Arabidopsis thaliana: one gene and its partners. The protein of the gene in region 1 interacts with the protein of each later gene in a pairwise test. Each region holds a gene or a part of one and is shown on either strand. Other genes may lie near its edges.

Region 1 (4,886 bases):
TAAACCTGTCCACACGTTGACAACGGTTTATCATCAAATCTCCAAACCTCTAAAAACATTGGGGGTTCGGAGTTAAAAAAAAAGCAAGAAAAAAGAGAGATAGTGAGCGTAAGTGAAAACAGCCATGGAAGAGGTAAAGGGGAAAAGAACCATCAGTAACACTTGGAAACTTGTTACAAGGTCCCAAACTGACCCCTTTGAAGGAATGCCTCTGCATCTGAAAGAGAAGATTCTCATGAAATTGAAGGCCAAAATCATATCGACGTTCATCCTCCTTTCCAAGTCCTGGTCATCGATAGTCCTTAACAAAGATTTCACCAACATGTATTTGATAATAAAGTTCTTTGAATCTTTGAATCGACCACGTCTTCTTTTGGCAGTCGACGATCGAGAAATAAATATGCAGTTCTTCCACTCTTGCTCTCGAGAGGATCCATCTTCTGATCATCAAACGGTTGGCTGTTACCCTGATTCGTATCCGCGTATCTGGTATGACTTTTCTCCACCTGTTCGTGGCTTGATCTGCTGTCTAAACAATTCTACTAAAGTGGTAATTGGAAATCCTACTACTTGTCAATTTGAAACTTTACCGAGAGTCAGAACCAAAATATACCAAGAAATATTTCCCTTCTTTGGATACGATCATGTTAAGGATGAATACAAAGTCTTGTGCATGACGATATCGGATGAGTACTATAGTAGATCAGGAAATATTGTGTCCAAGGAGCATAAAGTTTTCACTCTAGGATGTAAACAGAAGAAATGGAGAATGATCGAATGTACGATTAATCATTATCTTACTCCTGGAACTCAAGGAATATTTAGCAATGGGGTTATCTATTACTTCGCTAGGGTCAATGATGATCAGTCGCTAATGTGCTTTGTTGTGGGGTCTGAAAAGTTTAGTGTCGTTGAGTTACCGAGGCCGGCCGTCGAAGTTCTAGCGAACTACGGCGAAAAGATAGCTGTAACGAATTTGTTATATGCTAGTAATGATAGACTTTTTGTATGGATTCTAGAAGATGCCAGCAAACAAGAATGGTCAAACTTTTGTGTCTTGGTTCCTTCTTGGGTAGATATATAGATTTCGACCATTCAGCTTCACGGGTATACTTGGAACCGGCGAGCTTATATTTACACCGGGCTTAAAGCGTGGCCCCTTCTATTTACTGTGTTACGATCTCAAGGAACACACAGCTAGAAAAATCTGCTTCAAAAGAATTGGTTATTATACTTCTTTGAAAGTCTTTTTGGATCATGTAGAGAATCCTATGGTTCTGCCAAAGATAAGGCAATCGGTTGGTGATGAGTTCTTTGGTGTTGCATGAACTAATCTCTCTTCTTTCTTTTCTTATTTTTCAAGTTTCAATTAAGTGGTCGGATATTATTTGTTTAAGACTAGTTCTTATTGGATTTGATGGTCACCCATTGGTTAGTCTTTTGATCAATGGATATTTATGTCTGTGGAATATTGTAATGCAATGTTTTTTTTCTCAACATCTTTGGAATGCAATGTTTATGACTTAACAAGAAAAATGTTTATGACTTGATTATAATAATCTCTGGTTTTGTGCGGAGCTTATACAGCTTCGGTTTTCTTCTTATTTGATTTCTTTTGGGGAGAACAAAGAGTTTTGTGTTTGGCTAGATGGATCTTTATCATCATTTTGGTCGCCTTTTGAATTTTATTTCATAAAGAAATCTTATGTATAAGAAAATAAAACTAATATCGATTCTGAAATAGCAAAAATACCTCAATATTTTCACTAAATCATAAAACGAACTACATTCATCATACAACACATTGTAACATTTCACCATTAATTTCTTAACCCAAGCAACAAGCCAATAAGTAGATAGTTTTTGTTTGACTAAACATACACACGTGTTCGGAGTTTGATGTACACGCGCTGACTGCGCGTGGATGTAATATAATCTTAATTCTTAAGTATATTCGTCGACGTTGCCTTGTTCCAAAGTTATAAACCGTGTGGAACCATCGAGAAGCGAAGCCAGAATAAATTTTCGAATCCTCCGACGATGACGGAATCAACATCCGTGGTTGCTCCTCCGCCGGAGATACCTAATCTGAACCCTAGCATGTTTTCTGAGTCCGATTTGTTTTCTATTCCGCCGCTAGATCCTCTTTTCCTATCTGATTCTGATCCGATTTCAATGGATGCGCCAATCTCCGATCTCGACTTCTTACTCGACGATGAGAACGGAGATTTCGCTGATTTTGATTTCTCGTTTGATAATTCTGATGATTTCTTCGATTTCGATTTATCGGAGCCCGCGGTGGTGATCCCTGAGGAGATCGGTAACAATCGTTCGAATTTGGACTCATCGGAAAACAGAAGCGGCGATGGAGGTTTAGAAGGAAGATCTGAGTCTGTTCATTCACAGGTTTCATCTCAAGGCTCCAAGACTTTTGTGTCCGACACCGTTGACGCATCATCCTCCCCTGAATCAAGCAATCACCAGAAATCTTCTGTTAGCAAGAGGAAGAAGGAAAATGGAGACTCCAGTGGCGAATTAAGGAGCTGCAAGTACCAAAAGTCCGATGATAAATCAGTCGCTACGAACAACGAAGGTGATGATGACGACGACAAGAGGAAGTTGATAAGGCAGATTAGGAACCGTGAAAGTGCTCAGCTTTCGAGGTTGAGGAAGAAGCAACAAACTGAGGAGCTTGAAAGAAAAGTGAAGAGTATGAATGCTACCATTGCTGAATTGAATGGTAAGATTGCTTATGTTATGGCTGAGAATGTCGCTTTAAGGCAACAAATGGCTGTTGCTTCTGGTGCTCCTCCTATGAATCCTTATATGGCTGCCCCGCCTTTACCGTATCAATGGATGCCGTATCCGCCGTATCCTGTTAGGGGATATGGATCACAGACACCTTTGGTTCCCATTCCTAAGTTAAATCCTAAGCCTGTCTCGAGTTGTAGACCGAAGAAGGCAGAGAGTAAGAAGAATGAGGGTAAAAGTAAGCTCAAGAAGGTTGCTAGTATTAGTTTTATTGGAATTCTCTTCTTTGTCTTCTTGTTTGGTACATTGGTTCCTTTTATGAATGTAAATTTTGGAGGAGAACGTGGAAGCTTTGGCGGTTTGTCTAAATATGATGGCCACCGGTATTACGATGAACATAAGGGGAGGGTTTTAATGGTCGGCGATGGTTCTGATGTTAGAAGAAATAGTGGAATTTCTGAAGGAAATATCCATTCTAGTAGGATTAGTCATGGTGAGAGAGATAGTTGTGGAGGAGTAGATTATAATGCTCATCCGAAAGTAGAAGGACGACCAAGTTCGTTGAGCAATGCCAGTGATCCTCTCTTTGCTTCTCTCTATGTCCCAAGAAACGATGGGCTTGTGAAGATCGATGGGAACTTGATAATTCACTCTGTTTTGGCGAGCGAGAAAGCAAGGGGTTTAGGAAAGAAGAATATCACTGAAACAGTAAAAACTAAAGAACCGGATTTGACCATTCCTGGTGCACTGTCTTCTGCATTAGCTGTTCCGGGGGTAAGAGGAAATGCAGCAATGCTTCCGCATTCAACAGCTCTCTCTTCTGAAGGGAAAAGACTTCACCAATGGTTTCATGAAGGTGGCTCAGGTAATTCTTGTTCTCTATGTAGTTTCTACTAAATGGAGTGATCTGGATTTTCAACTCTACATTGCATTCTCTTGCAGGGCCACTAATGGATTACAGCATGTGCACCGAGGTTTTCCAGTTTGATATTGCTCCTGGTGCTATAGTCCCGTCATCAGTCTCCAGCATTTCTGCGGAGCATCTCCAAAATGTCACTACCCACGGCAAGAGAATGAAGAACAGGAGAATCCTTGAGGGACTTCCTGTTTCACTTGTGGCGTCAGAGCTCAATATCACCGGAACCCAGCCAAACAAAGACGCTCAAAATAAGACCTTTAATGGAAACACTAACAAACCCACATCATCATCCTCCATGGTTGTCTCAGTGTTACTTGATCCAAGAGAGGTCGTTGACTCTGAAACCGACAGAGTGGTTCCCCCAAACCCAAAATCACTTTCCCGGATCTTTGTGGTGGTGCTTCTTGACAGTGTCAAGTACGTTACCTACTCATGCGTTCTTCCTCGATCGGGTCTCCATCTCGTAGCCACCTGATTTGAGCTACTCAGATCTTGACCTTAAGTAGGCGAACATTGACTTGTTTATACATACAGACCTTGTTGACTTTTTTTCCCTGTGTTGTATAACTCTTATGTTCTAAGGTTTTGGATTTTAATTTTGAGATAAGCATAAAGTGGAATCCTTGTTTTAAAGGCATTTCCAATAGCTTTAGGCTGTATAATACATCCGATGGTTGCAGAACTTTTCTAATTTAGAAGATATAATATACAAAAGAAGCTCTTAGAGCATATATATTCAATTGGGACTTAAGTAGAAGGCTGCACCCTTTTGTGCAGCATCATTCTATAACAACTCTTCCGGTTCTGTATCTAGTTTCCATATGAATTCATTTTATACATTTAAAAGTTTTGAGTACTCTGTCGATACAGTTTACTAGACATGTTAATGTCGTTATTCATGAAGCCAGGCCACTATCAGCATGAGAAGGACAATCCATGGCATAGCTGGTAAAACCTCAATCGCTGCTGCCAAACACAGAAAGAAGAAGGCATTTGATTAGAATTGGGAGTCTATGATTTGATATATCTTTGCTAAATTGGAAGACTTTAAGTAGCAACTTACATGAAGAGGACTGCGGTTGAGGATGAGCAACTTCGTTTGCATGTGGTTCCCGTGGTTCCGTTATGGGTGGTTGAGCTGCATGGGCAAACACCACATGTGGTAGAGGGGCAGAGATTGGAACTATATGAGACTTGGCTGCAGAAATTGGGGCCG
Region 2 (4,438 bases), on another chromosome or scaffold:
CAAGATGTCATTCTTGGAACAAGAAAAATGTTTATATGACTAATATGGTTGTGACATTCGATTAATTAATTATAGATTTCGGATGACATTTTAATTTTTTAGTATTTCTATTCTAGATATATTTTTGGTAATAAAGCTAGATTTGACAATATGATTGATGTTAAATTTAAGATTTATATGACAACTATAACAAGAGGTATTTCTAAATCTAAGTTTTACTTAATTTTTCTCTATAATCTATTTGAATCAATATACTTTTGAACACCCCTTCGATAAAAATTAGTATATTTATCTTCACAATTATAAAAGAATCTCATCCTTATCTTTCTATCAAATTTATGAATTTGGTCTCATCTCTATCTTTTTCTTTTGCTTTTACTTTGTGTAAGTGGTATTTTTTTTTTTTTTTTGTATCATGGATTAAACTAGATTATGACGGTTTGATCTTGATGGTTGGGGTTTAAGTCTTATTAACTAAAATCGTTCTTTTGAGGCGATCTTTGTAGGAAAAACCAAACTAGGATAGATTTGTGCTCAAATGAACTAACATAGAAATCTAAAACTGAAAATAAGAGACCTCATTAAGCTTATTGCACAAAACAAAAGTATGAGGGGAAAAGATTTAGATTGTCCCCAAGAATAGAATGACTTTAGTTTTGATTTCAAAGAAGGGGATAGACTATGGAGTTAAGTGACAACTCTCTACGTTAGTCTCACTGTTCTCACTACATGATTATATATAAGAGACTACTTGCTCATCTACTTAACCTAATTACATGAACTTGTGTTGGGTTTTTCCAATATCATGAACTTATAATCTTTGGTTTTGTTAGGAATGCTCTTTTAATCTCAGTGCTAAATTATGCTTGATATTTATAACTTTTTTTTTTTTTTTTTATATTTATAACTTTATACGTGCTGACATGCACTTGAGGACTTTGAGGTGTCGAATCAAGAATCATGATGATAAGGAGTTTAGGGATGAAAGCAGACTATATAATCGTATAGGTGATTAAGTAAGCATGGTTATTTAATGACTGCTCAGTCACTTCATTTACTTGTGTATTAATCATGTTTACTAGTTAGTTTTCGTCCATTTCCAAACGCTAATTTGTTGTTCAATGACTGCTCACTCACTTCATTTACGTTAAACGTTTCTTACTTGTCGAATGCATACTTACTTGATTTTGACCTATAGTTACTTGTCGAATACTGTGACCTCGTATAAGTGATCAAAGGCGTTACAACTTTTGGTGGTCTTTTACACATAAGTGATAGTTTTCAATTATTTTTCGAGTCAAAGCAATTAGCAAATACTTTTTTAGGAAAGTTTTTTTTTTCTTTTTTTTTTTTTGGGCAAAATTTTTAGGAAACTTATAAATAATAAGTTACTTATTATGGAATCATGTACTGTTTTTTTCTGAAGTCACTCATCACTCGTTCGTTTAAGTAGGTTTTGTTTTGTCACTGAACCGAAGTCAAACCAATCTAAATACCAAAGCTGGTTTAATGTCTCTGAAATTCGAACAAAACCAAAAGCGAACGGAATCTTCGGTTTCGATACCGACGCTTCTTTGATGACTCACAACGAAAGATATATTTGAGGGCAACGGGCACAAGTAGGGTCAGGCAAAACTAGTGGAGTTGAACAATCGATAACATATTCGGGCAGCTTTTCAGATCTGCCCGTCTTTTCCTACAATCTCGATCGTTGTTTCGACACTTGTCCTCATTGTATTAGCCTCCTTTTCACTGTTGCACATCGTGTCGTTTACCACTCCTACACATTTTCGTGGTTCTGAGTTGACCTATCACTACAGTGTGAGTGGAAAACATGAAAACGGCACGATGTTAATGAATATTAGAGAAGGACGGAGGCTATGAACTGAAAAAACGACATGGTGTGTCCCTCTTGGGTCTAGCCGTTTAGGCCTCTGTTAGTCATTTCGTCTCTTCCTTAGTTAGAACAAAAAAGGAGAGACCTTTAACAATTTTCTGAGGGTAAGATCCAGAGATTGATTGAATCAGCTTACTATTTTATATAATTCAGGTAAATTCTTATGTTTCTTTCCCTCCAGATTTTGAAAGTTTCTAGCTTTTGTTGTTCTGTATCTACTCGTTTCCGGGAAAATGCTTTTGCTATGTATGTTGAGATGTGATAGTAGAGGTTAAGATTGGTTTTTCTCTGTTCTGGGTTTGCTTTAGATTCTAGGGTTGTGATTGAATTCTGATTTTGGGGTTTTGGTTTAGTGAATTCCGATTCTCAAACTCTTGGCTTTGGTACTGACTTTTGTGCTTTGTTGTTGTTTCAGTTTGTTGTTCCTCAGACTTGTAACTAGGACAGTCTTCTCATGAATCATGACTTCTTCAGTACATGAGCTCTCTGGTTTTGTCTCTCTTTCTGACCATTTTCATTATGCTCTCGTTTTATTGTTGTATCTTCCTAACTGATTCTTGGTGGTATGTTTTGCTGGTCAGATAACAATGAAAGTCATGCGAAGAAAGAACGTCCAGATTCCCAAACCCGACCACAGGTTCCTTCAGGACGAAGTTCGGAATCTATTGATACAAACTCTGTCTACTCAGAGCCCATGGTAATTTCTCTCAGCCAAAATCTCAACTATTTGTGCAGGCTACATTCAATGAGTGATCTTTATTTCGATTATATGATATTTGGTTTAGTTTCTGTGTGATCTTGCTCTCGGTTATAATATGTTTGCTTGTGATTCTCTTTTTCAATGCTAAAAGTTTTGTTTTGATGCTTACAATGCCAAAACTTGGTTGTTTGAGATAATTCAAGCAAGAAAGTCCCGGGATCATCGCCTTTCTGCAGTTTTAGACTTCGTACGAATGTAAACTTTGATTGCTTTGAAAATCAGTCTTGAGATGCAGTGTAATGATAATGTTGATTCCAAGTAATGCTAAACTTTTTAACCTGAGATGATACGGTTTTTGTTTTTGTGTGTGTTGGTATTGAAGGCACATGGATTATACCCGTATCCAGATCCTTACTACAGAAGCGTCTTTGCACAGCAAGCGTATCTTCCACATCCCTATCCTGGGGTATGTATTATTTATTACTCAGCCCCAACGTCTCCGGTTTGGAATATTTAGAAAAGCTTTTGTTTTATTTTTAAAGTTTTTTTTTCAGGTCCAATTGCAGTTAATGGGAATGCAGCAGCCAGGAGTTCCATTGCAATGTGATGCAGTCGAGGAACCTGTTTTTGTTAACGCAAAGCAATACCATGGTATACTCAGGCGCAGGCAATCCCGGGCAAAACTTGAGGCACGAAATAGAGCCATCAAAGCAAAAAAGGTAAAATCCTGGCGGGCAAGTGCTGTAATTTGTTTGGTAGAATCCTTCCCAATAAGTTGTAATTTCTTGTTTTCAGCCATACATGCATGAATCTCGGCATTTACATGCGATAAGACGGCCAAGAGGATGTGGTGGCCGGTTTCTCAATGCCAAGAAGGAAAATGGAGACCACAAGGAGGAGGAGGAGGCAACCTCTGATGAGAACACTTCAGAAGCAAGTTCCAGCCTCAGGTCCGAGAAATTAGCTATGGCTACTTCTGGTCCTAATGGTAGATCTTGAGGAAGGTTTCTGCACAACCACAAGTTTAGTTTCTATTTTGGGTGGATGTTCTCAGGGCATCATCGTCTTTAGTGTTTTTGGATACGCTGTGTACAGGTTATTTGCTAGGGTAAACTTTGTTTTAGCGATTAGAAATAAAACTAAGCAAAGAAATGAAAAGTGTGATTGGAAGTATTGTTGTACCAAATTGATATTCTTTGCCAATGAACTCATGTTTTGGAAAGTAAATTAATGTTCTTAGCTTTGTTTGCTATGATTTTGAGGATAACTAACACTGATGATAACTACCACTGTGGATTAGTCCATTGTTAGACTAGACTGTTTATTGGTATTCTTCTATATATATGAAATGCATTCTACAGGATCGGATTTGACGTTGTAATTTAGGAGACAAGTAAAACAAGAATTCTTCCGATCTCATAATGTGGTCAATCACTAGGCTCGTTTTCATTTTTAATGAACACATTGCATGCATATCCGACCATATGCTCTTCCGATGATACATTTTGAATGACACGACATACATTATTTTACAATCACAATTCTCTTTTTATACGAGGTATTGTTTCTTTTCTCGACTTGTAGCTCTGTTTTAGTTTTGTCAAGTCTTTAGACCTGTTTACACCATTTTATTATTATCTTCTTTACCACATATAAACTTAGCCTTTTTCTTATATTCACAAAGAGACCATATTTCACCATTCCATTGATGATATATTGGTTAGATGTGTTGGGATAGAATTTGAAACATTGATTTCTGCGACCAAATGGATTCGTTTTGGGAAGAAGGTAGAATAATCTTAGTTTACCACTTTTTTTTATCCACTAAGCATAATCATTTC
Region 3 (4,079 bases), on another chromosome or scaffold:
CCGCTTACATACAAACAAAAAAGTAATATACAAAAGGAAATATATGCTTTACGTAGTTAAATAGCTTTGTTAGAGTCCTCTCTATTAGTTTAATTACAAAATTTGCAATCCTTATATTTCTTCATAGGTATTTAATTAGCATTATAAAAGAACTATATCATAGAAAATATACACTATTAACTTTCGATAAGTGACTTTATGAACCACGTCATTAGATCACAAGTCAGGTTAATACAATTGTCCTAAAATTATAATTAATGTAAATAATGTGTTACTAAAATTATAATTACTAATGCTATTATTGACAAGTTCGGTTGATAAGCAAGTCCAAAATCAAATCTCATCAATCAGACTTCTTGGGGACAAGAGATACGACCTCCAAATTTGGTTTTTGTCCAGAAGTTAAAACTAACATCATCTAGCTTTTTAATATTTCTATTGGTGTTTAAAACTTGTCTTCTATTCGTTTCTAATTGAAATTGCACTTTATCTACTTTTTTTAAAATATAATTTAACATTTTATTGAAAAATATATAATCATCAACTGCTTTTAATGTTAAACTACTTTTTAAGTACTTTTTGAAAAAGTGTAATTATTCACACAATCTTGAAATAATTTTCATCGTAAAACAATTTAATAGATGTTAATGTTGGAAATATATAAACATCAGGAATTTGAGGATGGATCTCTGTATACTCCTCATCCTCTGTATTATATTATTTAGATAGAGATTAATGATAATAAGCTACCAAACCATTAGCTAATTCACTATAGTAATATCTATTCCTATTTTAAGTTATGACTACAAAACATTAGCAAATAAACCTTAAATGAGTATGAAGAAAATAGTAAAATATATTTATTCTTTAAAATACATATAATAACAAAAATAAATTTAGAATTGATACAATTAAAGATAAATAATTAATAATAAATGTAAATCTTACATTAATTATTGAATGAACACATAGAAAATAATTAAATAATAACGTGACATTCATATGAAAATAGTAGATCAACTTTCACATATATAATTAGTTCACTCATCTGCTAGAGAACTGAAAATTTTACAAATTCATTCATGTGAGATTGAATGAAGATTAATCACTCATTTAAAATTGAATAAGGAAGATAATCCAGAATGTAACATAAATTGACAATATAATATATGATTTTAATTAACAAATTGATAACTTTCAAAGTCTAGAAGATGGTCACGAAGGAAGAAAAGTCCTCTCGGAGAACAAAGATTCAATCGTGGAAGATGTTGACGGTGACAAAGAGAAAAAGGGACTGAAGAATTTTGATTGATTTCTGAGAAATGGTCAAAGAAGCCTTGCTCTCCTTGGTCTCATTGTCCATCTCAACTACATGTACATCGTTTTGACTATAGCTAACTGGTTTACATAACTGTACCGAAAATAAGAAAATCAAACCAAGAGAAAAGAAGTGAATTAGAACCGAGTTATTAATCACACGAACACTTCACTGAGTACACGTGTTCGGCTGTGATCCTATTCTTCCAGCTTGAAGCCTTCTCATTGGTTGTGTGACGGCACATAAAAACAATAATCCTCTGCTAACAGAAACACTATAACACAGTACACTCCATCACATCATTGGCTAAAAATTCAAAAAACGCGTCCATAATCAACACGTGTCATGCTGACTCTTTTTCTACACATTTACTTGGTCGCAAAGAAATTTAGAAAAGTCTCAAACACAGTTCCTATATAACTCATCTCTCTTCCAATTTCTTAAATTAAATTCGCTTTTTTTTTTCTTCTTTGTATATTTTTTTTTTTTTGACCATGGCGGAGGAATTTGGAAGCATAGATTTACTCGGAGATGAAGATTTCTTCTTCGATTTCGATCCTTCAATCGTAATTGATTCTCTTCCGGCGGAGGATTTTCTTCAGTCTTCACCGGATTCATGGATCGGAGAAATCGAGAATCAATTGATGAACGATGAGAATCATCAAGAGGAGAGTTTTGTGGAATTGGATCAGCAATCGGTTTCAGATTTCATAGCGGATCTACTCGTTGATTATCCAACTAGCGATTCTGGCTCCGTTGATTTGGCGGCTGATAAAGTTCTAACCGTCGATTCTCCCGCCGCCGCTGATGATTCCGGGAAGGAGAATTCGGATTTGGTTGTTGAGAAGAAGTCTAATGATTCTGGTAGCGAGATTCATGATGATGATGACGAAGAAGGAGACGATGATGCTGTGGCTAAAAAACGAAGAAGGTATATCTAATTTTACTCTTGTTTGAAAAGTTAGGGTTTATGGATGGATTTTGTATGTTTGTGTTGATTTTGGTTTCATTAAGATTGTTAAAAGTGTGTTATGCTTTGAGAACAACATTGAGAACTAGGAGATACGTATGTGTAACAGTGAAGATTTGAGAAACGAGTGTTTAAATTTTGCTTGCGTATCTTGTGATATGTTCATGTTATTATGTTTATGTATGTGTGACGTTGAAGAGTTGATTGATTATGAGTGATGTTGATTTTTGTTTCATTTAGATTGCTATAAGTGTGTTATTGTTTTGATAACAACATTGAGAACTAATCATTTAAGTAAATGACTGTTTAAATTTTGGTTGCCTTTAATTATTGTTAATCTTGTGTTAATATTCATGAGCTGATTATGTTCAAACATAGGTATGTGTATTTTGGTTAACTTAAGATTGTTAAAGCCTTTTATGCTATGAAAAGAAACTGAGGTTTGATAATTGGGATGTGATTGTGGTTCAGGAGAGTAAGAAATAGAGATGCGGCGGTTAGATCGAGAGAGAGGAAGAAGGAATATGTACAAGATTTAGAGAAGAAGAGTAAGTATCTCGAAAGAGAATGCTTGAGACTAGGACGTATGCTTGAGTGCTTCGTTGCTGAAAACCAGTCTCTACGTTACTGTTTGCAAAAGGGTAATGGCAATAATACTACCATGATGTCGAAGCAGGAGTCTGCTGTGCTCTTGTTGGAATCCCTGCTGTTGGGTTCCCTGCTTTGGCTTCTGGGAGTAAACTTCATTTGCCTATTCCCTTATATGTCCCACACAAAGTGTTGCCTCCTACGTCCAGAACCAGAAAAGCTGGTTCTAAACGGGCTCGGGAGTAGTAGCAAACCGTCTTATACCGGCGTTAGTCGGAGATGTAAGGGTTCGAGGCCTAGGATGAAATACCAAATCTTAACCCTTGCGGCGTGACAACGCCTTTTTTAACTGCTTCTTTTGCGCATTTTGAGTTGTAGATGAGTGTCTTTTAGTTTTCTCTCTCTTGTTTTGTATTTCGCTGTTGAAAGTTTTCTGTCTAATATCGATAAGTTAACAGTGAATGTGGGTCTTATGGTTATGGATGATATCTATCTAATAATGCTTCTGCCTTTAAAATGTTGATTTTGAGGCATAACTTCAGGTAATATCACTTCTAATTACTAGATAACAATTCATTAGGTTGATTAACATTGATAAAGCTTTTCCTCATGCTAGTTTTTACATGTTTGCTTCATTTGACATTATCACAGTTTTTTTTTTTTTTTTTTTTGTCATCAGATATTATTTAGGGTTCAGACGAGCCAATCTTTGGGATTGTCACAGAGATTTTTGTTTGTAAAATGTTTGGTACGGATGCGTAGGCAGGTAAAAAAAAACGAACAGATAGTTTTATTAGAACAATGAAGATAAGGTAAAACTTCGAATTGTAAAAAAGTTCAAATATTTTCTAGTACATAAGCACTAGAGAAGAGATGATAGATAGTTTGCAGTTCCATCTAAGCAGCATAGAAGTTGTCGATGAAACTAGCTACGGTTCTTTAGAGGTTCCCATTTTGTTTGATGTTCATTTTTCTTTTCTCCAGTATCTCCTTCTCAGCCTCGGCTTGTCTTTCAATCTCCTCGCGAGACTTGTAGAACGTTTCCACGAAACGGGTCAGGATGTTGGTCGCTGCAGATAGGGAGAATAGCCAGAGTAGAAATGAGAACCGCGAAATGTAGACATGAGTACAATAGACAGTAGATGTGATGGTACCTTCCTTGAAGCGAACACCACTTGGATACTCAGCTATGTAGGAATTTAC

The links. Proteins that work in one complex are often made in the same cells at the same time.
Region 2: the proteins of BZIP28 (region 1) and NF-YA4 interact in a protein complementation assay, tested with the Arabidopsis thaliana proteins (one study listed by BioGRID).
Region 3: the proteins of BZIP28 (region 1) and BZIP60 interact in a two-hybrid assay, tested with the Arabidopsis thaliana proteins (one study listed by BioGRID).

The regions. Positions count from the first base shown.
Region 1 is NC_003074.8:3,377,286-3,382,171, forward strand, and holds BZIP28 (Basic-leucine zipper (bZIP) transcription factor family protein), read left to right. Parts: upstream 1-1,882; 5' UTR 1,883-2,040; coding exon 2,041-3,616; intron 3,617-3,693; coding exon 3,694-4,145; 3' UTR 4,146-4,336; downstream 4,337-4,886. Other genes in the region: AT3G10790 (F-box associated ubiquitination effector family protein), read left to right, coding at 125-1,084; AT3G10810 (zinc finger (C3HC4-type RING finger) family protein), read right to left, coding at 4,563-4,636, 4,734-4,886.
Region 2 is NC_003071.7:14,649,176-14,653,613, reverse strand, and holds NF-YA4 (nuclear factor Y, subunit A4), read left to right. Parts: upstream 1-1,904; 5' UTR 1,905-2,050; intron 2,051-2,312; 5' UTR 2,313-2,358; coding exon 2,359-2,386; intron 2,387-2,478; coding exon 2,479-2,594; exon of another isoform or gene 2,595-2,940; coding exon of another isoform or gene 2,941-2,979; coding exon 2,980-3,063; intron 3,064-3,151; coding exon 3,152-3,316; intron 3,317-3,392; coding exon 3,393-3,596; 3' UTR 3,597-3,908; downstream 3,909-4,438. UniProt on the Arabidopsis thaliana protein: Stimulates the transcription of various genes by recognizing and binding to a CCAAT motif in promoters.
Region 3 is NC_003070.9:16,135,193-16,139,271, reverse strand, and holds BZIP60 (basic region/leucine zipper motif 60), read left to right. Parts: upstream 1-1,808; 5' UTR 1,809-1,812; coding exon 1,813-2,249; intron 2,250-2,759; coding exon 2,760-3,210; 3' UTR 3,211-3,549; downstream 3,550-4,079. Other genes in the region: AT1G42980 (Actin-binding FH2 (formin homology 2) family protein), read right to left, coding at 3,816-3,946, 4,031-4,079. UniProt on the Arabidopsis thaliana protein: Transcription factor involved in the unfolded protein response (UPR). Acts during endoplasmic reticulum stress (ER) by activating unfolded protein response (UPR) target genes via direct binding to the UPR element (UPRE).